Linked DNA regions of Alligator mississippiensis. The protein of the gene in region 2 purifies or fractionates together with the protein of the main gene of each other region. This does not show direct contact. Links are inferred from orthologs where the notes say so. Each region holds a gene or a part of one and is shown on either strand. Other genes may lie near its edges.

Region 1 (7,023 bases), on a different chromosome or scaffold from region 2:
CTTCGTCTGCAGCCTATATGAGCCACATCCACCTGCCATCTGATACACCACAGGCAGTTGTTGCTGTTATGATCTGCTACTGCAGCCTGCAAGAGGTACCACAAAAAAAACAGGAGAAACTGCCATTTTTCACACTGGTATCATTGAACTGTTGACAATGACTTTCTCTAGAATTTATACCTTCACACGGCTGCTGGAAAAAGCAAGGTTGGAGTAACAATTACTACTCTGCCTTCAGCTATAAGTCTAGAAAACAATTAGAGGCTTCCACTCTGTATTACATCTTTCATAAGGAACTCACATTAAGTCCTGAAAAAAGGATCTCCACATATTTACCTCAAACACTGCACTTGTTCTTAAGGCAGTGGGGAGACCACACAGAAATACAATAAGGCATTAAACTGCACTTGGGCCCAAGTTCCTGGACATAAAGGGGAAGGAAACCATTACATAAGAAATGATACCAGTGGCCTAGTACTTTACATCTGTCTTCAAGCACTGCTAGAAGGTGGGGATCCCATCTCCATTTTACAGAACCTGAATCTGAAGCATGAGGATAAAGGGATGTGCCTGGAGTCATACAGCAACACGCCTGACACAGCAGTGCTTTGAACCCCTTTGTTCCCATTCCTAGTCCAAGGCCCACATGTTTATTTCCATAGGAAATTATCTTTAAAAATACCAATGCAGCACAGTGTCACAGCTGGAAGGTGGCTCAGCATCAGAGCAGGTCAGCTACAGCGGCTGCAGGATCTCCGCAAAGCATAGGCTGGACAAACGTTTGGAGGGAGCAGCTGGGACACAGATGGCTCTCCCTGGAGCAGACCTATTTGACACATATGGGGAACGTGGGCCTTAGGCCCACAGTGCAAGTTCATAGAGAATATGTGCCTCTGGATACGTGTCAACTGCTTTTGTGGGACAAACAAGAGAAAACAGGGATGGGAGTGAAAGTGAAAGGTTCAAAGTGAGGACAGTGAGCAGCAAGCGTCAGACAGTGCTCGGTGAAACTCTGCTAGCAAATGAGAGCGGACAAGGGACAGGAGAGTGGCCTTGCAGTCCCCGGGGCCTCCTGGACAGAGCCTCCTTCCTGGGTCGATATGTTGCCAGCCTGGTCAGGGCCAGCAAGAGGTCTCGGCGCCGCGGCTCGGGTGACTGCCTCGTCCCTCCGAAGCCTGTTTCCCCGTGACGGATTATTAAGGCGATGGCCCGACGGCACGAATGTAACACAAGTCCCGCTGACTTGCAAGGGGCGGCGGAGCCCCTTCGCAGAGCCCGCAGGCACAGGGCCGGGGCTGGAGCTGTCACAGCCCACGCGGCCCGTCCCCCCCGGAGCAAACGAGTCTCCCTGCGGCCCCGCGCCCGCCAGCGGCCCCCGGCCCATCCCCACGCGTCGCACCTGCCGCGCGTGCACTCGGAGCCGCCGCGCTGCCCGCACCTGTAAGCGTCCGCCACGCTCCCTTCCGGCTCCTCCCGTCGCTCCCCGACTTCCGGGCCGAGAGCTTCCGCTTCCGCCCCACTGCCAGGCGGCCAGAGAGCACCCCTCTTCCCCAGCCTCCGCAGGCCATAGAGACACGGGGAGGCTAGAGCGCCACCCGGCCGCCATCTTGGGGAGGAGCCAAGTCGGGCTGGAGCCTGGAGGCGTCCGGCGAAGCCCTGCGCTGGGGAGGGGAGTGTAGCTGACGTCAGTGGCCCCTCGGCCCTGCCTGAGGACAGGGATGTTTCGATGAGCGACCCCACAGCTGTTCTGGGCTGCCGACATGTTATCGCAGGCGATAGCATACGATAGTTCCTACTGCCAGAGCCTAGACGTGACCCCGAAGTGGAAGTGTTGTTACACAGCTGGGGGAAACGGGGTGGAACGAGGCAGATGGATTTTGGCTTCAGTTGTACCTCCTCCTTTCCTAGAGCTACAGAGCATTTTGTGCCTCAAAATTTGTTTGACATCTTGACTATAATAGTCCAATAATATGTAATATTATAAGCCACAAGTCTGTAAGTATCATGCATAGTAGAGGAGACTAATCATTTGTGGGTGGCACAAGGGAAAAGAGTCATTTTACAGTACACAAAGGTCTGCATCACTTCACTGGAGGCAGAGGTAGGGGCTGGCTGTAGATACCCATCTGCTAGGAAGGCTAGCACACAGCAGGGCCATGAAGCCTTAGGCACAGTCTGTAGTGTACACAGCAGGAACACAACTAGATATTCCTGCAAGCGGTAAGGAATAGTTGTAGAAGGACATTCTGCCTTTATGCCCCAACCCTGACACCTAACACTGCAGAGTTGGAGACTACTTGATAAATGCTCTCTCTGACATAGCAAACACAACATCCTACATTTCTGAGCCAGGGTGGGGCAGGGAGTAGAGTGAAAACCATCATAAATAGCTTCCTTCTACCAAACACTGCTCAAAAAAAAAAAAAAAAAATTTTTTTTAAATTGCAATCATCAATAGTATTTAGGACTTCCTCTCAGAAACATGCCATTTGTGGGCTTTGAAGAAATCCCACTTAAGTATGTTAGGGTAAGATAAGTCTGGTAGGAGGCTTAGATTTCCTTTGTATGCTCATCTTCTACTGTTTGGGCTCAGTCCAGACTGACAGCATTTACTTTAAAATACCCTGCATTGCAAATTCAATCTGAAAAAAAAAAAAAAAAAAAAAAAGGAGTCAAGTGGCTCTAGAGCCTACTGCCTAGCCTTGGTACTCAGCCTGCAAAGAAAATAGGAGAGCAAGAATTGTTACAATGCATCAGCCTGCCAAATGCCAATGGCAAGGACAGTAGATGAGTAGCTGAGTTTGTAACCAGGAATGATTTGCAATATTTCTCCCCTTACTCTAGGCCAGCTTGGCCATTACATACAAGTAAACACAGCCAAGAGAGTCATCTCTCTATTTTTATTCTTTGCATCACGGTGAAAGATTCTGGTCTTCAAGGTGCCTTGCACACAGTCACAGTTGCCCACTTTCTAGAAAGAGTGGAATGCCCAAGTGCCAAGCAGGATGCAACACGAGCACAAACTGCTTGGGGTTGCGGCGTGTGGAGGGGCTACCTAGCAATAAAATGAAGAGTTTAGCAGAAACTACAACTCATCACTTACCTTAAATGATCTGCAAGTGTTGTAGTGCCATGCCAGTGGGCACAGACAATAAAATAACCAACCAACCAAAGGTAAACGCATAACCTGTTGCCTTCACCACCTACTGGCTCCTGCCTGGATTCAATAGCTAATTCACATCAGAGTGGCTCCCAACCTGGCAAGCGCTAGATAACTCCCGACTAGTAAATCACCTGTGCTGAAAGCCCGGGTGACCGTCATCACTGATGAAACGGACTTCTCGTGATCACCCCGAGCCCCACCAGAGGTGCTGCAATACCTAGGAGCTCATCCCAGCCCGGGAAGAGATCTCCTGGATTCCTGTCAACCCTTCCGCGCGCCCGGGCTCGGCCCGGGTCTCCCTCCTGTACTGCAGAGAAACGAGACAACTGCGGGGGGAGTGGGAGTGGTCCCGGGACGACCCTCTGGCAGCGAGGACAGGCACGTCTCGACCCGAAAAGCCTCGCGGACAAGAGATTTGGGGCCCAAGCGGTCCCGGCTGCGACCGCGCTACATCGGGGCGGACCCGGGAGCCGCTTCCCCAGGCCGAGCCGGGAAGTCACAGGCCTCCGACAGCGCGGCGACGTCCGCCGAGCAACCCGGGGGAGGGAAAACAGGCGGAGCCACTGCAGATGGCGGCGCCAGCCCCGCAGGGAGCAGCGCGGCACAGCGCACGCCCCGCCCCCTCCTTGGCACCGCCCTATGGCTCCTCCCGCCATGCGTCTCAGCCAACCGCAGCACGAGCCCAGGCCCCTACTCCTGCCCCTCACTCGCGAGACCTCCTCCGCGAGACCCCCTGACAAGAACTACGCCTCCCAGCAGCCCCCGCGAGGCCGTCGCCCCAGCCAATCACCGCCCGAGGAGAGGGGGCTGGTGCCGTAGTGCCCCTGTGGGCGGGGCCCACCGGAGCCAATCAGGCGGAGGGTGGCTGCAGCGGCGGAAGCGCAGCTCGGTTCTGAGCATCGGTGTCAAGTGGAGAAACGGCCCGGAGGGCGGCTCGCACAGATCCCGCCGCGCCTTGCCTGGCAGGTAACGGGGCGCGAGGGGAGCTCCAGGCGGCGGGCGCAGGGCCGCGGGCGCAGGGCCGTGGCGGTGGCAGGAGGGGGTCGCGGCTCCAGGGCTCGGGCTGGGCGGCGGCGGCGGCGCCTGGGGGTGGCGAAGTGGGTGGGTCGGCGATGGCCCGTGCACCGAGGCCGGGCGGGCGCAAATAGGCTCTGCCACCCGCGCTGCCTTGGCGCCTCCCAGCGCTCCGCCCGCTCGCGGCCGCGGCGCTTTATTTCTGGGGAACATCCGGGCTCTGCGCGTCCCTCACAGCAGCGCCGCTGGGAGGGAGCCGAGCGCGGAACGCCGCCGCTGATTGGCCGGCAGTTTCCCCTTTCATCATTGGCTGCCCTTCTCATGAGGTCCTAGCCAAGCAGGGGTGTTCATTGGCTGGGGCGCGCTCCCGTACGCCTGCCGCGGATTGGCTCGGGCGCCACCGCGACCCCGGATTGGCGCAGGGCTCGGAGTGCCCTCAGCTCCTCGGCCAATGAGCGCTGGCGCTTGCGCCCGGGCTGGGGGAGGGGGGTTGGCGTTTGGTGCGGCGGCTCCGGGACGGGGGCGGGGCTGCTCTAACCGCGCCGTGTCTCGCAGGGGCCATGAACTCGCAGCAGTTCCCCCGCGCCGGGGCCTCGCCCGCCGCGCTGGCGCAGCCCCCGCCGCCCATCCCGGCCAGTGGCGCCGCCGGCCTCATCGCCCCCGCAGGCTCAGGTGAGACGGGGCAGCGCTCAGGGGCGGGGGGGACCGCTCGGGCTGGCCGGGACAGCATCGCCCGCTCTCACACAGCCACAAGCAACCGCCTTCGTGAACCTGCCCCCGGGGATCGTCCCGGCGCCCGGAGCTGCCTGTGCAGAGTGCAGCCGAGGTCACGGGCGGAGCTTGCTGGAAGAAGCCGAAGCAGCTAGTCCGTGCCCCTAAGTGCAGCAGGCTCGGCCAGGGGGAAGAGGGAGCAGCCGCGGGGGCCTGCAAGGCCCTCTTCAGAAATCAGCCTGGAAGCGGAGGGACGCCAGGGAAGGGAAAAATCTCTGAAGTGACTCCAGAGCAAGGCTGACGCTAATTAGTATCAACTGTGTCTATGTCCAGAGAACCCACCAGGTACCCAGAGGACACTGGCACCTTGAAAAGCACTTTGGGGGCATCAAGTCATTGACAGATTGTTCTATTAGAAAGTAGGGTTTTTTTAAATATCAGCACCTCTTACTTACTAAGCCAAACTATATGTCAGATGGTTTTTAATCCATTTTTCGAAGCATTAATGTTCTAGTCTTTCCATTACACTCATTTCTGGGTCTTGATACTGTTCTGAGCTCTGTGCTGACAAACATTTACTTCCCCTTCCCTGCCCCCCCGGAGCTCACTGGGAAGTAGGGATTTCAGGACCTTCCTAACTGATTTTGCTACACTGTTGGTGCCTTCATCAGAAGTCAGTCAGATCCCATGCAGTAAAATGGAAATAAGTGTGTTTAGAGCATGTAAAAATCTAATAATAGTAGGAGACTGAGACTTATGGTGAGTATAAGCTATGGGATGTAGGTTTTGATTGACTCATAAACAGAATAAAATTTATAACATTTCAGCTTTTTGTTTTTTGTCACCATGAGCTGAAAATGAGAGAGGATTCCCAGTCTTAGTCAGTGTTATCACCCTCAAGATCACAGCATTGTGTTAAACGTTGTAACCTTTTGCTTTGATACCTGTGATTGCTTCGGCTTCGGTCCAAACTTAGATAACTTGTTTAATAATTTTGTGTTAAAAAAAAAATTAACGAAAAGTCAAATGTTGAATCAGTGGCATGGGGCCTTAGGCACTTGCCCAATGGTCTGTAACGGTTTCTTCGGTGTTCAAAATGCATTTGGTCACTTTTAAGGAAGGTTACAATCAGCTGTTTATCTAAGTAGACTGATTGTGCCTTGAGGGTGTTTTGGAGGACTGTAAGAGCCCTCCCCCCCAGACGGAGGGTTGCTCACGTTCTGAAGACTTTAATTGTTGGGGTTGCATTCATTCAAGGATTAATGAATTTCTCCTGTCCAGGAGTTTTGAAACAACCCTGCTTTGCTTTTAGCACTTTGTTTCTAGGCTTGTGGGTAAGAATCACTTATTTCGTAGCCCCTTTGCTCAGAGTTTCTTTTTTTTTTATTAGCAAGTGATGAATCTAATCGAGAACCAGAAGTTGCTCCTAGAGACCATGTTGGCTCTGGTGGCTCTCTCCAGTCTCGTGAAGAGAAGCAGGAACCAGTGGTGGTTCGGCCGTACCCACAGGTTCAAATGTTGACTCCACACCATACCGTGCAGCCTGGTGCTCCAGTTACAGTGACAGCTCCTCCGGCACACCTGACTCCAGCAGTGTCCCTTTCCTTTTCGGAAGGACTTATGAAGGTATTGAGGAGGCTCACACTTAAGAGGGGGGAAGTTGAAGGAATAACAGGAGAGTAAATTCTTTCTTAGCAATCTCATCAGCACAAAGTTAACTTCAGTTGTATTTTTTTGTTTTTTGTCCACTAGAAAGTTCTTCTGAATGGTATTGTCTGTGTGATTCTTCTGTGCTTTCTTCCTGACTGTATGCCTCCTTGTGGGGTGCTGGGGTCTGCTCCAGGTAGAAGACTGGTGAAAATCTCTGAGCATTAATTTGTTGCTTTTCCATGTATTTTGTTTCCTAAGTTAAGGATGATCTAAATCAGTTTATGAATCCCCTTTTGTTCCTGGATGGGGCAAGGAGGGGGAGTAAAAATGATGCACTATAACATTTTGAAATCAAGACAGTAAAATGAAGATATATATGGAGCAGACCAGGTGGTTCTTTCTTCTTGACCGAACCCTCCCTACAAAGGAGATCTTTGTGAGGAAAGGCTTTGACTTGAGAGGTCACAGGCAGTCTTCTTTTTGCT
Region 2 (7,430 bases):
TTCTACCAGATGCAAATCATTCAGAAACTAAGTATGTGCCCACTGTATGCTGGACCTCAATCCATTTGGTAGGATGACTGTCAAAACCTGGAAGTCAGTCATTCACAACAGATCTAGCCATGTACCGATTTAGAGAGAGCCACAGTGGGCTTCTGTAGATGGGCCATTTATAGTCTCACCTGTAGGAGGGAGTGCTCAGGAGCCGAGCTGTTCACAGAAGCGTTACCACCCTCGTGCTGTGCCTGGTCTATGGAAAAACAGAAGTCTCCAAAAGCTCCCAACCCGCCACAAGCACTAAGAGAAAAAGCAAACAGAATAGGTTCAAGTACATTATTGATTCCATATATGAATGCTAACCTGTTTCAACAACATCTGGCCCTACACCCTCTTGGAAATTTGATCCCACAACAGTAAGTATCCTCATCCTTTCTATTTATCATACGTGTACCTAGATGCTATTAGAAATAAGCCACATCTGCAATCAGAGCATGCCACTTATAGTGCCAATCTAAAATACACATACCTCCCTCATGAAAATACAAACAAGTACATAATAAAAGCTTCCAGTCTTTTAGATTTCTGCTGGTTTTAAAATGCTAAAAACAATTAGATCAAGTCAGAGGCCATGTAATTAGTCAACTTTGCTAAACAAGCAAGACCAGGAAATTCTTTTTGCAATTATCATCAAATAATCTTGACCCAAGGACTGGCAATTCTTAGAGGAAAAGCTGATGGGGGAATATCTATGGGGCAACCTTAGGATATTTCACCCTACAGGTGTGGCAGTCAGGGGGAGCTTTTGATACAAGGAAAACAGGATCTTGCCACCGCTTTGTCCAGGTATTTCCTGGTCTAGGGGCTGAAAGAGGCGGCCTAGCAAACAAGTAAACAAGACAACCCACAGTAGCTTCCCCTTATATCTTTTTAGTAACATATCTGCAGATGAGCATAGGAAAGGAAATAGAAATTAAGTCCAAATGAAATGGAAACTTAAACAACTACAAGTGTTTCTCCTTACTCAAAATAAGGTTGTTTTCTTAAAATAAATAAATAAAAATGTACACACATTTCTCCCCCCCACCCCATGGATAGTAAGCTGCTTCAAGAAAAATCTGGCTCTTTTGGAATTTATATATAACAAACCAGTTTATGGCAAAAACAAGAACTCTTAAGCTCTGTTTCAGCCTGCAATTCCCAGTTGAAACAAAGCTCAAAGGACAAGTATTTGTAATAGCATAATAATGCCAAGTGAGGTAGGAAAAAAAAAAAAAAAGTTCTAAAACTACACGCTCTCTAAATCTCTCGCAGTAAAGAGAAGAAGCCCCTAAACTGCTCATACTTTGCCATTTTTCTACCAAGGTGCTTTGTGTAGCTACTGGATACTGCTAAATGCCCCCCTGAAAAAGGACTTAAACCCTCCAAAAAGCCTCCAAAACCCCTCCAAACAACAAGTGGGTCAGGCCCCAAATCCCAGCCCCCTTAAGTCAAACCCGAGAAGTCCCGGGAATTCAACAGGGCCAGGGCTGGGATTCCCGGGCAGACTTCCAGCGTGCAGCATGCCCAGGGACTGGCAACAAAAAAGGAACACCCAAGGGGCCAAGCTCCGTTCTCAAGCTGCGCCCATGACACCAAGGAACAAGAAGTTAGGGCAAAAAGAAAAAAAGTTAGGGTAGGAGCAATGGTGTGGGAGGGAAATATACAGAAGGGCATCCCCCGCCAGAGCCCAGGAAGCCTGGAACAAAGACCACCCACCCCCCAGCCACCCCCGCGAGGACGACCTACTTTTCACAGAGGCCATGATGATCAGGTAGACAACAAGGCTCAGGGTCACCCGCAGCCACTCTGGGCACCTCGAGCCTCTCCGCAGTGCACAAAACCAGCTGGGATGAGGCAAGGTGCAGCCAGAAACAACCCCTACCTCCCCCCAACCACCCTCCCACAGCCCCTGCCACGAGGTCGCAGGGAAGTGAAGCGCCTGTAGCCACTTGGGGAGGGAGACGCGGAGCCCTCTGTGCTCGGCTCCCCCCCCCCCCTCCGGGCACCAGTTGAAGTTAGCAGGCCCCCACAGCAGGGTGCCACCAGCAGCCCAAGCCGTGCCCCCCGCCCCGGCCGGCTGGGGGAGGCAGGCACATCGCCCACAGCCAGCAGCGCCCGCGGCGCACGCGACCAGCCCTTTGTTTTCCCTGCAGCCTGCTCCTGCCTACGTGAGGGGCCAGCGGGAAAGGGCGGCTCGCGCCGCGGCTGCGGGTGCCACGCGGAGAGGAGTTTGCTGGCAAGTCGCGCTGGGGCTCGGGAAGTGGCCAGGCGCCATCACCGCCCGGGCCCGCAGGGACGAGACTCGGCCGGGCCGCGAGCACGTGTCGTGTCAGAGCGCGCGCACAGCCCAGCCGGGCCACTTGCACACGCACCCGCGCCACTTGCACCCCCCCCCGGGCAGCAGGCCGGGCCACATGCATACCCACCCACCCCACCTGCACGCTCACACATATACACGCCCCCCCGGCCAGGCCGGGCCACTTGCACGCTCCCCCCCTCCCCAGTTAAAGGGCAACATGGGGAGGGACCCCCCCCACAACAGGGCAGCCTACCCCGCGCCACGTTGTGGGCGCCCCCGCCCGAGCTACAGGTGCAGGCGGCGGGCGTGGGCCGGCCCCACGCGGGAAGGCGACCCGGGCTCCGCGCCTTCCTCCCGCCCGCGGACACGTCTCCGCGCGGACGGCACCAACAGGTCGCCGGGGCTCCTCCGCTCGCGAACAAAGCGGGGGCAGCTGCCCCGGGGCAGCAGTTGGGTCGAGCAGAAGCTGGAGCGGCCCGCGGAAAATGAAGTAATCTCCAGCACAGGAGCCCGAAGACCGCGAAGCACTCACCTCACCTCGCCGCCGCCGCCGCCTGCAACTTGGCTGCGCCGCCCCGTGCGCTCCTGCTCCTACGCCCGTAACGCTTAGCTCGCTCGCTAGTTCGTGCGTGTCCCCGCCTGCGGGACGCTGCGCGCATGCGTCGTTCCCACGGCTCAGTTCTCTTCAATCGAGCTGCTTTGCATACGGCCCCCATTGTCCTTTTAAGGGAGAAAGGCCCGCGCGGGAAGCCTGGGAGGAGGGACGGGGCCGCTTGTGACGTCACCCACCCCGCCCCTCTCCTCCAGCTGGGGATCGGAGCCGGTGGAACAACGGACGCCGCGGTCCCTGCCCGGCTCGCTGCTCCCGGCGGGGGAGGAGCGGGCTAGGCGCAGCACGGCGAAGGACTCGGCACGGGTGAGGCGCCTCCGTGGGCAGGGATCCAGGTGCCCCTTGCGCCCTAGGCTCGGCGTGCCCGGTTCCTCAAGGTGCGGGAGCGCGGCACAACTCCGCCTTCCCCGGCGTCAGGGGCCGACCGGTTACGCTTTGACTCTTTCACAGATTCACGGAAGTTTAGGGCTGGAAGGGATTTCGTGAGATCATCGGGTCCAGCCACCTCTGCTCTGGGCAGGAAAGGCTGCGGGGGCAGATGACCCCAATCAGGTGCTGGGGGGCCTGCAAAAAAAATTGGGCTGCCCATCAGGCTGCCCTAATCGAATCGGAGACCCCCCCCAAGGTTAGGACTTACAATCTTGGGGGGGTGCTCAGCCCTCACCTGTAACTTGAACCCTGCCCAGCATCTGTGCAGTACCTGCACTAGCTGTTTACAGGGCACAAAGGCATGACAAAGTTCGGGAAATGCAGTGTTGCAAAGAGGAGGAGGCAGCATGTTTGGTATATGAAAACATTGCAAACAAACTTTAAAAGTAACTCATGAAACTTTAAAAAATGGATTCTCCTTTAAAGGAAAGAAAGTGGGAAGCCCTGGCTTTTTCCTTTGAAGGCTGGCAGAGTTCCTGCCTGCCAGGGGTTGTTTGCCCCCCCCCCATGCTTTACACACTGGGGGCTGGGGTTTGGGGGCAGCAGGTCAGGAGTGAGGGGCACTGGGTCAGGACTGGCTATCAGTATTCACAAATGGCTCCTGATACAAAAAAGGTTTAGATCATGTAAATGCCATCTTTCTGCCAGGCAAGGGTTGCATTTAGGGGTTTAATCCCAACTATAGTAACTATACTGGGGGTTAGTAAAACATGCAGATCAGTAACACAGCAGTAGTTTTACACCCTGCTGCCCCCACCCAAAGGATTCTCTACTCAGTTTATGCTGATGTCCCTGGCAGTACTCCATACCATGCTGCCCTCTGCCAACCATGCCTTCACCAGCTTTGCCCCACCATCCCAGCACAGACTCCCACAGAAGGACTACTGTCTGCTTATCTGCAACCCAACAGCCTCCCAAGCAAGTGACGGGACACAGCAGCAGCATATTGGCTGGCGGGGAACAGGGGCTACAGAGGCTGGGAGAAAGGCTTGAGAGACTGCTTCCTGCAGGCTGCTGTGCTCTCACTTGGACACCAGGCAGCGCAGCTCTGCTCTCTATGCTCATCAAGGCTTGCCTCCTGCTTCTTTCTGACCAGGACTTTTCAATCCAGGTCCCAGTTGCTTCATTTTCTTATGAATGAACTTCTACAGACTTTAGTAACAGATAGGGCCAGATTACCACACAGGCAAACGAGGCACATGCCTAGGGCCCTAAAGGAAGAAGAGGGCCAGTTGTGCTTATTTTATATATTATAATTATTCAGTGAAAAAAAGTAATATAAATATATGGTATTAAGTTAGAGCTCCATGAGTTTGTTTGCCTAGAGCCCAATAAAGGGTTAATCCCGCCCTGCAAACAAGTGTTTTTTTCACACTTGTTTTTTATGGACTATGTATATTTGTGTACAGTGGTAAACATGCTCTTGAGAGCCTTCTTTTTATACCCAAGTCTCAGAACAGAAATTGAAGATTAGGTTTGACCTAGCTGCAGCCCTATCCTGTGACTTTTTACATTCATTTATTGTAAATGACTGTTCATTTATGATCTTTATGCAACTCCTATACCTCAAAACAAATTGTTACTCCATTTCAATATTGTGCAATAAATTTCTCTCTCATGCTTTGCCTTTGAACAAGAGCAACTAAGTTTTTGAAGCTTACTATTATTTTTTTTTTTTTTTAAATAAAATGCACACAAGATTTCTCCTTTAAGCTTCAAGCTAGTTTCTGCCCTGGTCTTGCACCCCATATCGATGAGAGAAACTCATGAATTAATCAGAGGGTCAGGGTGACACTCTGTGGGTCAAGGAGGAAGAAGGGCATAGTCTCACTGGGGTTTTAAAAAATATTGCTCACAGAACTTTTCTAGTGCGTCATAGTGAGACATTTAAAAACTCACCTTTTAGCTGCTTCTTAGTCACACTGTTTGCACAATTTAGAAGCAGCAGTAGCTCCATGTTACATCAACTGGCTCATCAATGTTGAAATTAGTTTCTTCTTACATAGCTATTCATTATGTCTAAAACATCTACATGCAGTACAGAGTGACACATAGGCACCTATTACTTCTTTAAGAACAATGCCAAAAATCATGAGAGTTGGCAGCACTGTATTTTGCACCATATTTGCACACAATTAGAAATAGTCATAAGCTTTTCCTCCAGTCTAATACTGAATATTTCATTTATGTATTTCTCTTTAAATGATAAAAAAAAACCCTTCTATACATTGACCTAAAAGTTAGGATTTTTTTAACACACAAACAAACACCGATGTAGTAGGACTGGAGTAATTTGGAGATGAAGATTTTAGTTCTCTGAAGACATTTTAGTTTGGATTTAAACTTCTGCCAGACTCTCAATCTAGTCAGAGCAGAATTGTATGCTGTTTTCAGTGCATAATAAACTGAACATAAGGAGCATCTTTCATTACCTGAGACAAGAGGAGAAACTGGAGAAATGTATAAAGTAATTTCGATTTTTTAAATTATTTTGGTTAAATCATTTAAAGTATTAATAAATGAGGCTGTTTTAAAAAAAATATTGAAAAGATCAGTGTCAGGTTAACATCTAATTAACATTTAGCCTTCAGTTTCACAAATTGTTTAAGCATATGCCGTAAAGCTAAGTAAATACTTATTGCTTATGTACTTTGCTGACCCGGGTCTTATTACTCTTACTCCCATTAAAGGCAATGGTTAAACTTCATTTGACTTAAATGAGAGCAGGGCTGGATCTCCAAAAGGACACTAATAAAGATCCAAAGTGCTTCCTTCCTTGTGTTTGCATTCTTTACATTAGCAGGAGGGGCAGTCTTCTCTATGTCAGTTTGCAAACTCCTGGTAAATGTATACCATGCTCTAAATAAAAACAAACAATCCCCTAGCAAACCAACTTGTGGCCATGGGAAGGGAACAGCTTCAGTAGGGAGATTTCAGGAGGGTAATCTATCAGCAACTGAGATCTCTGTTAAGAGACCTAAATATTATGGCAGTGTCCTAACATATTTAATTCCAAACCTAGCCCAACCCAATCATTTACAATACAAAAGGGATGCTCAGCTTTGACCTGTGTCAGATTTGGCCCTAAAAAGTTAAAATTGCCATCAAGGGCAGGAGAAGCAACTAGCTCTTCCAATATGAAGGGCAACGCACTTAAAGCTGGGTGGCCAGTCACCAATAGGGATAGATAGAAAAAACCTTGCCTCCAATAGAAACAATATTTAAGATATTTGCTTTTATAGTATTTACATAAAATTTGTGAAGGCTACTGCTGCTTTTGACTGTGCTGCCCACAAACATCTTTGAAAGAGTGAGCTGCTTCTGGAGTTTTTCCTTTTTTCAGCACTGAAAGTCGTCAGCATGACTGAGAGATACAGGTTGGTCTGCAGGAAGAAGTAAGCAGAACTTCTGGGGAGGAGATATTTTTTATTAGACCAACTAGACAGTTAGAAAAAAATATATTCTTTGTTTGCAAGCTTTCGGGCATACATGCCCTTCCTCAGGTATAGGAGAGTGCAAAGATTGTAAAATTTCTTCCAGGTAGAAACTGAAAATTCATATTTCAAAGAAGAGCTGAAAGGTGGTGTAAGATGTCCTGGTTGGAAAAGTTCATTTTATGCAAAATAGGCTCAGGTAAAAGTTGGAGTGGTCTGTTTACCACCAAGTTACCTGATGGCAAGCAGGATGTTGAATTATGCTTCTTTCTTGTTGTGATGTTTCATATTTTGTGGGAAGATGGGTGATGGAAGCCTCTCCTGGGCAAGGAATTTCTTTTGTGTTGTGGCTGCTCTGTGAGCATGCAAGTTTTGCTAGACACAAAAGGCTGGAGCAAGGGTGTCAGCTTTCAGGTCTTAAGGTGTTGAATTTTGCTTCCTTTTTGTAAAATTATAAAGTTTTTTTGCAACTATCTGGTTGGTCTGTGCTATACAACCTGTATTCCTTTCATTACGTAGTAAGCACCTGTTGCTTTTATTACCTCCAACACAATCAGGGTACTTGTGCTCCTCATGCTAGCACAAAGGGATCAGCTTCCTTTTAGCAAAGAGTTGTAATAAA
Region 3 (7,365 bases), on a different chromosome or scaffold from region 2:
TCCTTTATGACTGTCCATGTTCCCAAGTATTTCCTTTGGAAGCCCACCGAAGCAAAATCACTTGTTTAGAAAATAGTCACGGAGAACAGTGGGCACTGAGTGGCTCTGAGGATTCTCTGCTGTGTCTATGGGACTTGGAGCTCTGCCAATGGAAACACGAGATCTGCTACTACAAGGTACTGCACCAGCAGAGCTTGGGAACACAACATTATTAGTCATTTATTCCAATGAGCCAGTACAGACATAACTAGTCCAATTTTCAAATAGCGGGCTTTCCAAACACTGTAGCAGCTAGGTGCCTCCTTTTGGCATCTTAGGCCTGAACTGCACACTTGTATCCAGGTTTAGCTACCTCGTTAAAGAGTATGCTTTCTAGAGAGCCCACCGATGACCTAGTGCTGTTAAATTTTTTCTAGCCCCAAAACTCACATCTTCAGAGATGCTTGGTCAGAACTTATCCACCACATTCACTTAATTGTTTGCTTGCATCCTGTTCTTGGTTATGCACATTGTTTAGCTGAGGTCAAGTAAAAGCAGCATAAAGGACTAACAGGCTCAGCCCTGTGGAGTCCCATAAAAGGGGAAGTGATGGAAGAGCTTGAGCTATTTTTCAGCTTTTCACCTGTGCCTGACAGGCCTCAGCCTTTACCCGATAGGCTGCACAGTTTGCACTCACTCCTTTTGGTAGCCTTCTGAGCTTTTACAGGACACTTTTTTTGAAGCGCTTTAGAAGCTTAAAAGCAAAATGCCAAGCTTGTTGCACTTTCAGTCTCGCTTAGAACCACTCTGGAAACATTGGTTAAGTTAAAATGTATGCCCGTTCTCAACTACCTAACAGTCAAACCATCTAGGTCGTCTTAATCTTCATGTGCATTTACCAGTACATTAGGGTCTAATTCAAACCCATTATCCATTTTTAGCATTCATCCTTCTTGAAAGGTATTGAATGTGCTTGCTTCTCAAAAGATGATAAATACCTGTATACTGGATTACTGGATCAATCCATTGCAGTTTGGGATGTTTCAAATGGTAAGTAAATCTGTATCGCCAGCTAAGACAAGAGGGTACACCTTACTACATCATTTTCCAACCTTTTGAGCTAAGCCCCCAATTCTGTTTGTACTGACCGGCCCCCTCGCCCCAGAGGAGCAGCGCAGCCAGGCACAAGGCATCCCTCATCCTAGCAGCTGCTGTGGCTCTGCTCGGCTCAGCTCTAGCACCTCCTGCTTTGGCCCTGCTGTGGCTCTAGGCTGCACGCCCACTGCACTGGGCTCCCAGAGGTGCAGCAACCCCCTGGCAGAGCCTGCCCACCCCCACACCCCCCCATGCAGCTGCAGTGGCTCCTTGCAAGCTTCTTTCCCATGCCCCACTGTGCTGCACCCCCACCTCCATGCCCCCCAGGGGGGTACGCCTCACAATTTGACAACTTCTGCTTTATTGTATATATTAAACAGGTATGTAAGCTCCTTTCTGCAGTACAAAGGAAAACAAAATTTACACTCAGTTTAAATGAGAAACTAACTTGGTTACATGTTAGCACAAGGAATTTGGGATCTCTCTCCTGGCCAAAAAATAGATTTTTGAGAGAGAGAGAAAGTCTCTGTAAGTTGCAGCTACATATAGATGGGCACTGACCCCTACCTCTGCCTCCCTTGAATCCATGAGAACATCCCACAAGTGCCTGCCAGTACACCCTGACCTTCTGTGACACTGCAAAGAGAAGTACCATCCCCAGTGTCAAAAAGGCCTCATTACACTGACTAGCCCAGGGGCAGGCAGTTATTTCTGTCAGGGGGACACTTACTGAGTTTTGGCAAGCCATCAAGGGCCCCATGTCAGGCAGTCTGGGGCAGATAAATATTCATTTTCTACATTTTTTAGGGGCCCCACAGGTGGGATAGAATGGCCTGGCAGGCCACATTTTGCCCACCCCTGAACTAGCCAGTGACATCAGTGTCTAGTTTTTGCCATAGATGTAGTACTTTCTACAGCAGGGAAGCTGCTTGAGGGCTTGTCAGGGTCGATGTGTAAGGTACCTTAAAATTCTGTATTTAGACTCATCCTAAAAGCTTAGGCCCACATAAGAGCAAGAACATCATATGTGGCATAAGGGAAAAAAATGTACGCTTCCATTTTCCTTGCCTTTCCTCTGTTAGATACTGTTGTGTGCTCACTCTTATTTCAGGGTTACATAACAATTGTGAACTTTATGCTTTAGCTTGTTATAAGGCTTGTACTTGTCATCCTCTCACAAAGGATGGGCAGCTAGTTTAAACAAAGATGTTTAACTCCAGCTGTGTATTCTGCAGTTTGGATTAGTAGACTTCCTTTTGTTAAGCTGACGTGACAGGGGGCTTGCCTTCTGATCTGTCAAACAGGTATCCAGAACACTACTGGAACCGTAAGTAATGCACTTTCTTCACTGCAGGTTACCGTGCAGTAGCAAGTGCTTTCAGGGCAGCGTGCCCATGACCCTCTAAGACAAGTTAATCTCTGCAAGTTTTATGGCAAAATCCTTTATAGGCTTCTATTATCCACCCCGATCCTTGTTACAGTCTAAAGGAGCTGATGACAAACTTCCCACCCTTCCTTCACATTAACACCAGTAATTACGGGGCCATTTATGGAAAACGGCAGGGCCTCCTGTCCTTCAAGTGTAACGTCTTATGCTGCAAATCATTTCCTTTTCATCTCCTGCAGGTGCTCTGCTGGCTGTGCAGTGTGTGCATGCAACTGCAAGAAGAATCGTGCCAACTGCTGATGGGTTTGTTGCAACAACAAATCTTGGCTATATAATTCGTGAGAAGTTCCACTGCCCACAGTCCAGCAGCCACCAGCACGACCCGCTCCAGCACGTGGAGGCAACATGCACAGTCAAATCCAGGAAGGGAGAAGAGGCAAATTCAGGAGTGCAGCATCACAATCAAGGAAATACCTCCAGACACCAGAGTCAAAACCGCAAGCCTTCACAGATCTGTGCAATTGTGTAAGAGGAGCGAAGCAGCAGATCAGGACCACGCAGCCTCGGGACCCAAGATCAAGCGTTCAGGCCGAGCCTCTTAAGTCAGAAGCCGAGAGCTGGGGTCAAATTCGGGAGTTACTAGATCTCTTCTCTGCTCAAATCTACGCTACGCAACAAAGAAAACCTAGTTAACTATAGTATTTCCCAGTGTATTTGATCAGTTAGCATTCAGGATTTCTTAGTGCCGCTGCACTGCAACAGTCAAGTAACGCACAGGGAACGTGGGCGCTGCGCTCGTGACGCTGCCTGCGCTGCGTTAGGTTTTAACGGGTCAACGTGCTGTTAATGCGAGTGCCTCATTTACCAGAAGCAGAGTCAACCGTCCGACTGCTGAACCGTTAACACGCGCCATGAGTACACACGAACCCCTGCTGTTGTGAGCTGCCACCACCCCCCGCCCGGCCTGCGCTAGGAGCTGCGCACGCCTGGTCTGTGTGTACAAGGGCTGCAGAGCCCGCAGTTCGCACGCCCATCGCGGCAGGAGCAAGCTACCGGCCCACGAGCCCTCGCTGCCTGCGCACAGAGAGAGAGCAGCCGCAGATTTCTGAGACTGTGATTACAAGGGTCGTGTGTCCGGCGGGCTGCCGCAGGGAAGGTCTTTGCACTAATCGGTTGTTTGTTGGGATATTATTAGTTCCTCCTAAAAGTAAAGGAACAAGTTTTATGGCGATGTAGTTCGGAGGCGGTGCCCCCTCCCCCACACAACTTTCAGGATAGCTTTACTAATAAACTTCATACGAGAGTCTCGACTCCAGCGGGCTGCTTGCGCTGTGCCCGGGCGGCGGCGGCGGCGATATCTGCCGCGCGGCTACGACCGACCGGCCGCTCGACAGGCGCGTGCGGGAGCTCGGCACCGCGGCCGGCCGCCCACGCAAGAGGCGCTCCGCACTTCGCCGGGAAGCCCGTGCCTGCTGCGGGCAGCCCCGTGGGCCCCGCGAGCCCTCCCGCGCCCGGCGCACCACGGCCAGCCGGGCTCGCCCCGCGGTCCGGCCCGGCCACGCCGGAGGCACGGATGCGGCTTCTGCTTTGTTGTGAATAAAACGTGTCAGGTGTTCGCCGGCGGCCTGGGCGACGCGGGGGCTGCCCGAGCCGAGCCGGTCCCGCCCCACCGGGCAGAGCGCGGCCCTGCACCCCTTACCTCAGATTTCGCGGCGCCTCGGGCGGAAACGGCCCGGCCTGGAGCTGGAAGAGCCGCCGCCGCCGCCCCCTGACGCGCGCTAGTGCCGCCCCGCGCGATAGCGGCGCCGGAAGCCGGCAGCGCGGCCGGAAGTGGGCGGGGCCGGGGCGGGGCGTGCGCGGTGACGCAGGCGCCGAGGACGCGCTGACGGGGCCGCCGCCCGGTGCCCGAGTTCCCAACATGGCGGCGGGGGGCGGCGGCGGCGGCGGCGGCGGCCGGGGGGGCAGCGCCCCGCGCTGGGGCGGCGGCCGCGCCGGGGCCCAGGAGAAGCTGCCGGTTCACGTGAGTGCCCGCGCCCGGCCCGCCCCGGCCCGCCCCGCCCCGCGCCGGCCCACCCGCCCCGCCCCGCCTCACCCCGCCCCGCCCGTCTCCCCGCAGGTGGAGGACGCGCTCTCCTACCTGGACCAGGTGAAGATCCGCTTCGGCAGCGACCCGGCCACCTACAACGGCTTCCTCGAGATCATGAAGGAGTTCAAGAGCCAGAGGTACCGGCCCCGGCCCCGGCCCCGGCCCCGAGCCGGCGCAGGCCCGAGCCCGAGCCCGAGCCCGGAGGCGGCGCGTCCCGGCACCCGCGCTGCGCTGCGCTGCGCTGCTGGGCTGGGACCCGCTTGGCCCCGTGCCGTCCTAGCGCGGCGGCGCGTGGCCCGGGCAGCTCCAGGCAGGGCTGGCTCCGAGGCGGGCGTGTTGTCCGGTCTGAGGGCAGCCCCTTTCCCTGCACCGCCGCCGCTGGGCTGGGCTGGGCTGGGCGCTGGCGTCCGGGGTCCTGACCCGCTCCCGGGAGCTTGTTCTGCTCCCGAGCCGTCTCCCCTGGTCCTCCCCGCAGCGGGGTCGGGCTGCGGCTCCCTCTGCCCCGCGGCTGCCCGACAGCTGGCGCTGACTGCGACCAGCTTGATTCGCCCCTGGCCTCGCCTGTCCTGCCCCGTCCCGCCTCGCTGCGCTCTGGCAGGGGCCGCGGGAGGAGCAGGTCGAGGGGCCTTCGCTCCCGCTGCTCCCTCCGGGGGACGGACCTTCCAGCGGGGCGTGCGGTCGCGGCCTGGTACCGTTCGGCCCTGGGACCCGCAGACCTGCACAGATGCCTGTTTCAGGGGAAAGGCAGGGCTCTTGCTGACGCCTGCACACCTGGCTCTAGCGTACCAAAATGCTGACGTTGCGCGGTCGCTGCGTAAGCCTGCGGGGAGGAGGTATCTTCGCTACGTACCCGGAGCTCAGCGAGCAGTACTTCCCCCTGCTGCGTTTGACATCTTGTAGAGGGAGCCATGAGAAATGTAGGCGCTTCACAGATACCTGCAGGGAGTGAGCACTGTCTCAGTGCTTAAGTCTTTCAAATCCCTGTGCTGTTAAACAAAGTTATTTTTGCAATCTGATGCATCTGTACCTGCGTATGAATTCCTTTGTGGTTGCATTTTGTGACAAAGACCCTGCATGCAGTTAACGGTTTCGTCTTGGTTCTAGCATTGACACCCCTGGCGTAATCAGGCGCGTTTCCCAGCTGTTTCACGAACATCCCGACCTCATTGTAGGATTCAACGCTTTCCTCCCTTTGGGCTACAGAATAGAGATTCCAAAGAACGGGAAGTTGAGTATACAGTCGCCGCTGGCTAGTCAGGTATGTTAACATGCTTGGATTACTTTACGTGAACACAAATGTATGTGCGCATATAGATAAAGTAGCACGCAGGGTCTGCATAGTAAATGAGCTGGTTTGCCTTTATTGCAGTTAGTTAAAGGTTTTCAAATTTTGAGGGTATGGGGTTATAAAAAACAGTTTTGAGGTTACAAAAAAGTTTTTCTTTTCCAGAAATGCTTCTTAGTTTGATTGGAATAAAGCTCCCACACATGCTGCAGCCCAGACATTTGAGTCAGATTTGAGATGGTGGCTGGGTGCACATGTATACATGCTCCATTCAGTCTTTGTAATCACACTTTACGTTTTAAAGGAATATTTCAAAAGATCTTATTTCCTCCTTCCCATTATGGCACAAGACGTTTACTGGCGTGATACAAATAGCCGCGTTTTATTCAGATGCTCATATACTGCACTGAAGGATGTGGTATTAAAACACAAATAGATGCATGCCATTCTCTGCTTCCTTCATCACTGTGCGGTTGTTGAGTTTGTAACTGAAAAGTCTCAGCTAAAATTCTGTTCAGAAGCTTCTTGTATAAACCTTAATTTCCACCATCTACTACTCTTTCAGATCTCTTACGTGCATTGATTGTTTTGTATTACTTAGAAATTTAGCATTTTGACTACTGAGCATGCATCTTGATAATCTGTCATTCTTCTGGAACAAAGTAGTTTTACTCTAACTATACTGCAGGGTGAATTCAAACCATCTCTAAAGTGAAGAGGATAGGGTAATGTAGTGCCAATCACAAGCATTAGTGAATCAGGTTTCTCACGGACCTTTGGTCATTGGATTTTGATTACTCTGTATTCCTTTGTCAAGATCATGGCCAGTGGGTCCAGGTACAGCATTTGAAAATCCCTTGAAAATGAGGCTGCTCTGGTGGAAGAATTGTTGATGAAAACTGGACCTGAGAAGGTATCCACCCTTTGATAAAAGGACACAGAGCAGAGAATATGAATCTGGTGATGAAGTATGGCATTATTGTGCATCAAATGCCTTGATGTTGAGTGACTAACAGGAGACCTGGCTTCATAACTGGATACTGAAATGAAGTCACCATGTGTTGTGGTAATACAAGGTCTTGTTGACACTTGAAACTCGCTGCTGGGTAAAATACTTTCAGAGATGATCTACAAGGCCTACAGGCCCCCTGCTGTGAACCCCTGATTCAGAGAGAGCTCTCATATTTAGTGTATTCTTCCCTGGGAGTTAGTGAGATTCCTCGCTTTCATTCCCCCAGTTCTCAAAAGGTCCAGTATCACAAAGACTCTTCTGCTAGAATCCCTCAACCTTCCTCCTTGCATTAGCTACTGATGGACACTTGCTCCAGAACCAGTTCATACAGTCGTGGTTGGCCTGGGACAAAAGAACTGTGTTGCTCGTGTACCTGGAGGCACTTAAGAAAGGCCGTGGCAGCACTGGCTTGAGAGGAGTTGCTTTTCACACTCAGTTACTAATTGCATAAGCCGTTTTCAAGCATTGCCATATTCAAGAGATGTAGGGCAGAGAGCATGGTCAGATTCAATGCATTCGGA
Region 4 (7,681 bases), on a different chromosome or scaffold from region 2:
ATATTTATCTGCCCCGGCTGCCTGTCATGCAGCCCTCAATGCCTTGCCAAAACTCAATAAGTGACCCTCTGCCTGAAATAACTGCCCGCCCCTGCTGTAGATCAACACACACTGGAGTAAAAAATATACAGAAAACATAAGCCAGACTATTGATTTGTACCAGGAGCAACCATTTGGGTTTATCATAGAACTAAAGGGGTAGTGAAGGTTTTATATGAGAAGAGTAAGTTTCTGAATTGAATCAGGAGATCCTTTAATCACTCCAAATTGATTTGGAGAGATTCGGACATAGACACAGCTTTAAATCTTTTTTCTACATACTTCAAGGTACCAGGAGGCTCATGAAGGCTGAGATGGTGAGGCGGATGGAGCGTCCCACAGGAGCCGGGGGGGGGGGGGGGGGCGGGGGGGGGGGGGGGGGGCGCACGCTGTGTGCTTGGCGGTAGACCTGGAAGTGGACCAGAAGTGCTTCTAGTCCACTTCTGGGTCCGCCGCCAAGCACACAGGGGGCCCATTCATGTCCAGAGCAGAGATGAATGACTCCAGTGAAGTCACATCTATCCAGGAGGACAGTAGCAAACACTTAAGTTGTTTGAACACTGATGCAACAGCTAAGTAGTTTGTGCTTGTAGACAGAGGGAACCTTTAATAAGTCCAATATAACTAAACAGCCCTGTTATGTTAGGAACTATCCAGACAGAAATAACCTGCCCCTGGCTTTTTTAGCAAGTTAAAAAACTTAAAGAAAGATGCCATTAAACTTTGTTTTGGTGGGGGAGGAATACTTACTGTTCTTTCATTTCTACATAATCCTCTTCATCGTGTTTTGCCAGGTCAGTTTCACTAGCATCCTCAGTATCTGAATCAAATGTAGAATAATTTGATATCACTAAAAACACAGCATCAAATCATTTTAAAGAAACAGGTCATTTTTGTCTAGTTGCATTTATTTCTAATTAAGCTAGGGCAGCCTAAACGGTGAATTCTGACACAATCATCTTCAGACCATCACAAGCTGCTATCCGTGTTTTCCACACATAGCTGTCCTGTTTGCTAAAACAAGCATTTATAATAAAGCTTAATAGTATAGAAAATTAAATCAGCTGACACAAAACATCTTGTCCCTTTGTTTCTTGAATAAATCTAGCTAATTATAGTAAATTAGAAAATCCTCATGCCATCCATGAAAGCTAGGCATAGCATAAGGGATGTGTTGTAGACTTTCTTACATTTTTATCCCTGCCATATTCTCTTTGCTAGAGCAAACCCCAGCTCCTTTACAAGTCTCAAAACCCCTCCACACTTTCCCTGAAACCCAGAACAAAAAAAGAATAGAACTAAATTCTGTTACGTTTTACAACAGAGACAAGACTTCCAGGAAGGGTGCTAAGTAATGCTACTGGGATTTATTCAGCTTAGTATTTACAAGCATACACCTCACAGAAGTCCTTCAGAATCTACATGTAACAGAGGCGAGTACTAATGCTTAGTGCCATCTCACACAATCTCTCTGACATTGTAACCTGTCACTGTACTACTTTACTATGTTCCCTCACTTCACTCCTCTGTTCCTCCCCTTACCCCAGGGGTGGGAAAACTGCGGTCCATGGGGCAGATGTGGCCAGCCAGGCCATTCTATCCAGCCCGCAGGGCCCCTAAAAAAATTTAGAAAATGAATATTTATCTGGCCCTGGCTACCTATCATGAGGCCCTCAATGGCTTGCCAAAACTCAGTAAGTGGCCCTCTGCCCAAAATAATTGCCCGTCCCTGCCTTACACTCTTCTCACTACCTATGGACTTTCCTCCGTTACTACCACCCCTCTCTCCACTGAAAACCAGCCCAAACTCCACCCCCCTCATCCCTCCTGTTTCTCCTGTGACTGTTTTACACCAATTTCCCCCCCACCCTCTTGTGGAAATAACATAATGATTCTCAACCTGGCTGTTGCAGGGATGCTGTGAAGTCCTTTCACGGCTGCCATGAGTTATGTGCAACATTACCACCCAGGTGCGCAAACCCCTGCCCACCATTCATAAAATAAACCCAGAGATGTGAAACAGAAATCCACAGCATCAAACCCATTTGGCCTGGCTGCTGTCCCAGTTCTTTGCAATGGGGGAACTACTGGGTTATTTTACTGGAGCCAAAAAGCAGGGTTCCTCAAGTCTGATAGGGGGCAGGAGAGTTTGAGTCTAGAGCAGCAGTTTTCAACCTTTTTTGTACCAGGACCCATTTGTAAACATCGATGGCCAGTCCCGACCCAGTGCCCCTCACCCCCAACCTGCTGCCCTTGCCCCCAGAGTGAAGGGCAGCAGTGTGTGTGTGAGACATGGGGGGACGGCAAAGGAAATGCTGCGGTTCCCCACATTTTTTTCCTTTAAAGAAAAATCCATTTGTAGAGTTTGTTCTCAACCCTCCCCTATATTCTTGCGCCCTGCTTTTGGGTCAAAACCTGTGGGCTGAGAAACCCTGATCTTGAGGTTAAGACCCAAAGCAGTGACCCTCCCGGCTCCTCCTGCCCCACCAGGTCCCAAGTGGGGATGAAGTGTGTCAGCTCACAAAAGCTTGTGCTTTTAGACATGCGCATGCAAGGCTGTAGGAACACACGCGTGTGTACGTGACACACACACGTGTATGGGCATTACACGTACATCCATTACACTACACACACCCGCCCCCGCCTAGCGAGGAAGGTGCGAGTCTCCCCCAGCCCCCCCCAGGCTCCCGGGCGCGGGCCCCGCCCACCCTCGTCGGAGTCCCGGGCGCGGGCGCTGCGCTCGCCGTCCTCCTCGTCGGCGCTCTCCAGCTCCTCCTCCTCGTAGTACTCGGGGCCGGGCGGCAGGGCAGCGGGGAGCGTCCCGGGCGGCACGGGGGCCGGCGGCGCGGCAGACACCAGCCCGGCCGCGCTCATCGCGACGGGAGGCGGCCGCAAGCCGCTTCACCCGCTCCCTCCTCCCGCCGCCTCAGCCGGGCGAGGCCCTCCGCGAGCCACTTCCGGGACGCGCGGGCTGCCTCCGCTCTGCCTGACCCGGAAACTCGCGCAGGCGAATGCGCGGGACACCTCAAACCAGCCGGGCCGCGTGGGGGCCAGCACGGAGTCATCAGGACCCCCCGGGGGCCGGAGCCTGGTGCTAGTGGTAGCGCCTGCGCAGTGCTGTAGCTACTTGGGTTGTTCCAAGTGGAGTCTAGGGCTGCTCTCGCGGCCCTCTCCTAGAACGAAGTGGGCTGTGCTGAACCCCCACCCGGGTGGGACGTGGACTTGCCTGATAGCGGAGGCAGGCCCCGCCCCCCGTCGGGGTCCGGGTTCGCGGTGGCTGCCCGCTGCTGCGTTCGCCCGGGCGGGCAGTGCCCTCGGGCCGCGGAGCCACTGACCTCATAAGGTCCCTAGAAGCCAGGCAGGTGCCGGCTGCACCCGCGCGGCTCGCCCCGGGCCGGTCCCGTCCCCTTCGTGCGGAGCGCCCCGCTGGTTGCCGGCAGAGGGTGCTTAGGAGCTGCTCGCGGTCCCCTCTTTGCCTCCTGCAGGCCCGGCGGCTCCTGCAGAGCTGCCCGGCTCCGGCTCATCCCCAGCGCGCCTTGTCGCGGGCTTCCAGGGCATCCCGCCTGGCCCGGCCCGGCCCAGCCCAGCGCCGGGTGTTTTCCGCCCGGGGTCTCCATTCCAGGAGGGTGCTGGGCTCTGCAGCGCCGCGTTACCCTGACCTGACCCGGGGCCCCAGGGGACCAGGATTCACATGTGTGCAGGTGCGCGACAGCCATGTCACGTCCCAGCCAGCCCTCACGATGATCTGTTCGTCATCAGGTGCCCGGGGGCAGGATGTTGAAGTGTTGAGGACTGAAGCGCAACGGCACCTCTGCTCTTCTTATTCCTTTCGAAGGACTCGCTTTTTCCTTTTCCCGTGTCCCCAACAAGCTGTCGCTGATAGCTGTGGTATCACATCCCCCAACTGAGGTAACTGCTTCACACCCATGGATAACAGCTTCTGTGCCAGGAGTGGGTTTATTCCCTCCAAAGCAATAAGCGCCTTTCAGAGATGAGATCCTTTTCAATCTTGTAATGTTCAAATGCTCTCACCAGGCTGTGTCCCTGGAGCCATACAGATAAACTCTTTGTCTTGCACGTTGCTAATTACAGGCTTGGAGAGGCTATTCAAGGCCTTCAACCTGAGCACAAGAATGCTAAAATCTGGATTTATGGTGAAGTGTCTGTGGGCACATCTACACGTTTATTAATGCACTGTAATTACATTAAGTTTAGTACCTGTTATGACACGTACTAAATGCATCATAATTGTTGCTACTGTGCATTAGTGCAGATGAACGTTTTTCTGATGCTACTGTGCATTAGACTAAATCTACTGTGCATTAACATAGGCTTTGCTTGCCGTGCTAATGCACAGTAGCTTCAGTCTTCTGAACATGAAACACCTCACGTAGACACACCCTGTGTTAGCTCTTTTATGGGAAGACAAGCCATCTAAGGTGTACTGATCAACTGGTTGATATTGGTTTATAACTAGCGGAGTTGTGACTAAGCATTTACCTTAACATTTGCAGGGTATGTTCCCCAGAATCATGAGATGTTGACTCACTGAGGCATATGTCCTATGTACTGTAACCCTGTCATCAGGAAAAAGGAAATAATATTTAAAAAGTGCTATCAAAGAATGATCACCAAAGCAATGCAGTGTGAAACTAATAAAACTAGGCCTTGACAAGCTGTGAGAGGTGCTAGTGTACTCATTGTTATTAAAAGGGTGAAAATGTTTAAGTGCTTAGCTCTTCTATTTTGCATTTTGGCCAAAGATCTGTTATGGAGATTAACGTTTTTAGCCTTGCAACATCCTTGTTAAGTATTTATTACATCTTTTTTTACATATGTAAACATTACTCACCTTTTACAGATGATGGGATTGAAGCTGAAATCCAACAGTTTTCAAGAGAGGTCACTAAAGTTGAGAGGTGAACTAGTCACAGGTGAGGCTGAATCCAGGACTGTCTCCAGTGGCATGTTTGCCTTAAGCCCCTCTTGAAGCAGAATAACTTTTCCAAATTATGCTGTTTTTATGTTACTTTCAAAGGCCAGGTATATTTACTGATATGACATCACATGTGATAGGAACTGAAAGGGGATGGTGATAATCAGTGAGAGACTAGGTATAATTGTTGATTCAGAAATGTTTAAATTATTCTGTGGTCAACACTAGAATCCCATGTGCTGCATTGCTCTCATCTCAGCACACTTCACTCCCCATGTTCAGTGCTAAACTTATGCGGAAACCTCATGCTGTCATCTTTCAGGCATTCAGTTGAAACCCAAGAGGAGGCTTATCTTTAAGGAATGTGCCGTTTCCCCCTCAATAGTGACTACTTGACTGTTCACATCTCAGCATTCAGAGAGAATTTGTGCCCCTTATTCATAGAGTCAAAGTCTCCACCAAAGGTCCTTTTGTTGTATCTGCATATCCATTCCTTTGAGGAAAGCTGCTTTGCCTGTATCAGCTATTACCATTCATGGAGTAGCTGTGATACCAAACTTGGGCTCACAGCATGTAAAAGAATCAATATGTTGATATTGAAAAAAAAAACCTGTCAATAAAACTTTAGGTTAGTTTGGAAAGTGAAGTCTGTTCATGGGAATGAGATGGTTGTGACCAGAACATTTGTAACATAGCATACTGTGAAAAATTATGGTCAGGGGCTAACACCAGAGGTGGTTTTGAGCTGTGAGCGACCGAGGACATTTTTTGCAGGGGGGGAAGACAAGAAAAGAACAATGAGCACTGCAGCCCTCGCCCCGCTGGTGAGGATTGCGGAAGACTCCTTGTATTGTAAGAATCCCCCATCCTCTTATTGCCCTTGCTATTCCAATAGCTAATTTCTTGTTGTATCGTCTACTTGGAAAGCTCTTCCTGTCCCTTTGAGCCTTTTCTTCCTTAAAACACCACTCTGTAAGCAAATTCTCCCCTTTATATTGTTAGCAATCCCTTTCCCCTTGTCCGGTTTTGTTGCTTCTCCTGGTTAAGTCTTATCCATACTGAAACGCACAGGTTAATCCAGTTGAAAATAGACCTAGCTATGCATGTGCAAGAGTGACTCGTTTAAAGAGTAAATGCTTCTTTCATCTAGACTGGACAAGCCTCAAATTCACTTTTTGGGTTGAATGGGCAAGAAACCCGTAAGTCCCCCCACCCTTTCCCCAGCACGTTGAACCCAAGGCCGGGCGAGAGGCGCCTGCTCCGATCCAGGCCCCCATGGATCGTTGCCCCCCATTCAAACTCCCGCCTTTTCCCACAAGGGGTTAACCCCCCGGCCGCCCGCGCCTTTCAGGGCTTCCAATCGAGCACCGATCGTCCCGAGCGCTCTCTGGGACCGAGCTGTGTGGAGGAGCTAATCGATCGCCATGGCCCAGAGAGCACAGACTTCTAAATCAACCACCGATGCAAAGATCCCCTTCCCCCAACATCGGCCCCGCTGATGCGGGCAGTGACGGCGGCCCAGTCGGCTCCACCCTCCCCGCGCAGGCAAACGCAGACCGCCCCCCCCCGGTCGCGGGGGGGAGCAGGCTGGCGAGTCGAGGGCCGAGCCCCGATTAGCTCGGCTCGCCCGAGCTCCCAGACGCGGGAGTCGAGCGCCGATGCAGCCGAACGATCGGCCGCGCCTGGCAGCAGCCGCAGGCGCACGTCGGGCAGCGGCGGGTCCGAGGCAGGAAGCGGGGGGCGGTGAGCGCGGACCGGACCGGACCGGCCCGACCCGCCCGCCCGCTGCGGCCTCTCGGGCCCGGGCCAGGTGAGAGCGCGGCGCGGGCAGCTGGGACTGACCCGACCCGACCCGACCCGACCCGACCCGGCGAGCAACAGGCGGGTCCCGCGGGCTGCAGCGTGTCGGGGCAGCGGGGTGCGGCGGGGCCGGGCCGGGCCGGGCCGGCACGACACGAGTGGCGCGGGCGGCAGCCGCGGTTGGGAGCACAGGGTGGGGAGCCGCGAGCAGGGCAGCAGGGAGCGGAAAGTCGAGCAGCACCTGGGGTGGCGGGGCGGGCAGCAGAAAGCGGAGCGGCAGCCAGGGCGCGGGCGGGGAGCAGAAAGCGGGGGAGCAGGCAGGACGCGGGGCGGGGAGCAGAGCAGCACATCTGGCAGAGAAAGGGGTTGACAGTGTCCGCAGATGGTGCAGGGCTTATCTTGTGGCGCGCCTGTCACAGGCAGGCCCACGCTGCTTGGGTGGGACAGGATTCAGCGACATAGTTCACGCTCAACTGAAGAGGAGGAGAAATGGACGAGCATAAACCAGGGATGCAGGAAGGCTTCCACTGAAATGCTGCAGAAATACTAGACAGCTTTTAAGTACACAAAGAAAGACCTTCAGTTCAGAAAATGACTGTTTCGCACAGTCTTTTCAGATGTTTCTCCACTTTCGTGGTGCACTTAGGTCCTGGTTAGCAGCAGATACGTTGTTTGGGCATTGCAGCTTTATGATGCTGAGCAAGCCCTGAATTGGCAGGACTCAACCTATTTTTAGCACAAAAAGCGCTCCGATACATACACACAAGAGCTAATGCATTGTACTGGGGGCTTGTTATGAAATCTAGTTAAATGTCTGTATCTGGTTTAAAAAAAAAGTTCTGTGTTTATTTCATTTTCAGAAAATAGAGGAGGTCTGTGATTATCAGCTCTTCAAGGTCCCTGAAA

Evidence for each region.
Region 1: the proteins of SINHCAF (region 2) and SAP130 purify together in Homo sapiens (affinity purification with mass spectrometry; 3 studies listed by BioGRID and IntAct, counting the BioPlex papers as one, with this or other methods). This does not show direct contact. The link is inferred for Alligator mississippiensis from reciprocal best matches to the Homo sapiens genes SINHCAF and SAP130.
Region 3: the proteins of SINHCAF (region 2) and SIN3B purify together in Homo sapiens (affinity purification with mass spectrometry; 3 studies listed by BioGRID and IntAct, counting the BioPlex papers as one, with this or other methods). This does not show direct contact. The link is inferred for Alligator mississippiensis from reciprocal best matches to the Homo sapiens genes SINHCAF and SIN3B.
Region 4: the proteins of SINHCAF (region 2) and SUDS3 purify together in Homo sapiens (affinity purification with mass spectrometry; 3 studies listed by BioGRID and IntAct, counting the BioPlex papers as one, with this or other methods). This does not show direct contact. The link is inferred for Alligator mississippiensis from reciprocal best matches to the Homo sapiens genes SINHCAF and SUDS3.

The regions. Positions count from the first base shown.
Region 1 is NC_081830.1:39,528,733-39,535,755, reverse strand, and holds the start of SAP130 (histone deacetylase complex subunit SAP130), read left to right. Parts: upstream 1-4,018; 5' UTR 4,019-4,129; intron 4,130-4,732; 5' UTR 4,733-4,737; coding exon 4,738-4,849; intron 4,850-6,278; coding exon 6,279-6,514; intron 6,515-7,023. Other genes in the region: UGGT1 (UDP-glucose:glycoprotein glucosyltransferase 1), read right to left, coding at 1,400-1,568. UniProt on the Homo sapiens protein: Acts as a transcriptional repressor. May function in the assembly and/or enzymatic activity of the mSin3A corepressor complex or in mediating interactions between the complex and other regulatory complexes.
Region 2 is NC_081827.1:114,555,128-114,562,557, reverse strand, and holds the start of SINHCAF (SIN3-HDAC complex-associated factor), read right to left. Parts: upstream 3,007-7,430; 5' UTR 2,868-3,006; intron 1,865-2,867; exon of another isoform or gene 1,783-1,864; intron 295-1,782; 5' UTR 180-294; intron 1-179. UniProt on the Homo sapiens protein: Subunit of the Sin3 deacetylase complex (Sin3/HDAC), this subunit is important for the repression of genes encoding components of the TGF-beta signaling pathway.
Region 3 is NC_081839.1:449,097-456,461, forward strand, and holds the start of SIN3B (paired amphipathic helix protein Sin3b), read left to right. Parts: upstream 1-4,364; 5' UTR 4,365-4,379; coding exon 4,380-4,481; intron 4,482-4,577; coding exon 4,578-4,684; intron 4,685-5,651; coding exon 5,652-5,805; intron 5,806-6,649; exon of another isoform or gene 6,650-6,724; coding exon of another isoform or gene 6,725-6,745; intron 6,746-7,365. Other genes in the region: NWD1 (NACHT domain- and WD repeat-containing protein 1), read left to right, coding at 1-176, 921-1,029, 2,701-2,990.
Region 4 is NC_081833.1:22,486,010-22,493,690, forward strand, and holds the start of SUDS3 (sin3 histone deacetylase corepressor complex component SDS3), read right to left. Parts: upstream 3,003-7,681; 5' UTR 2,914-3,002; coding exon 2,748-2,913; intron 860-2,747; coding exon 790-859; intron 1-789.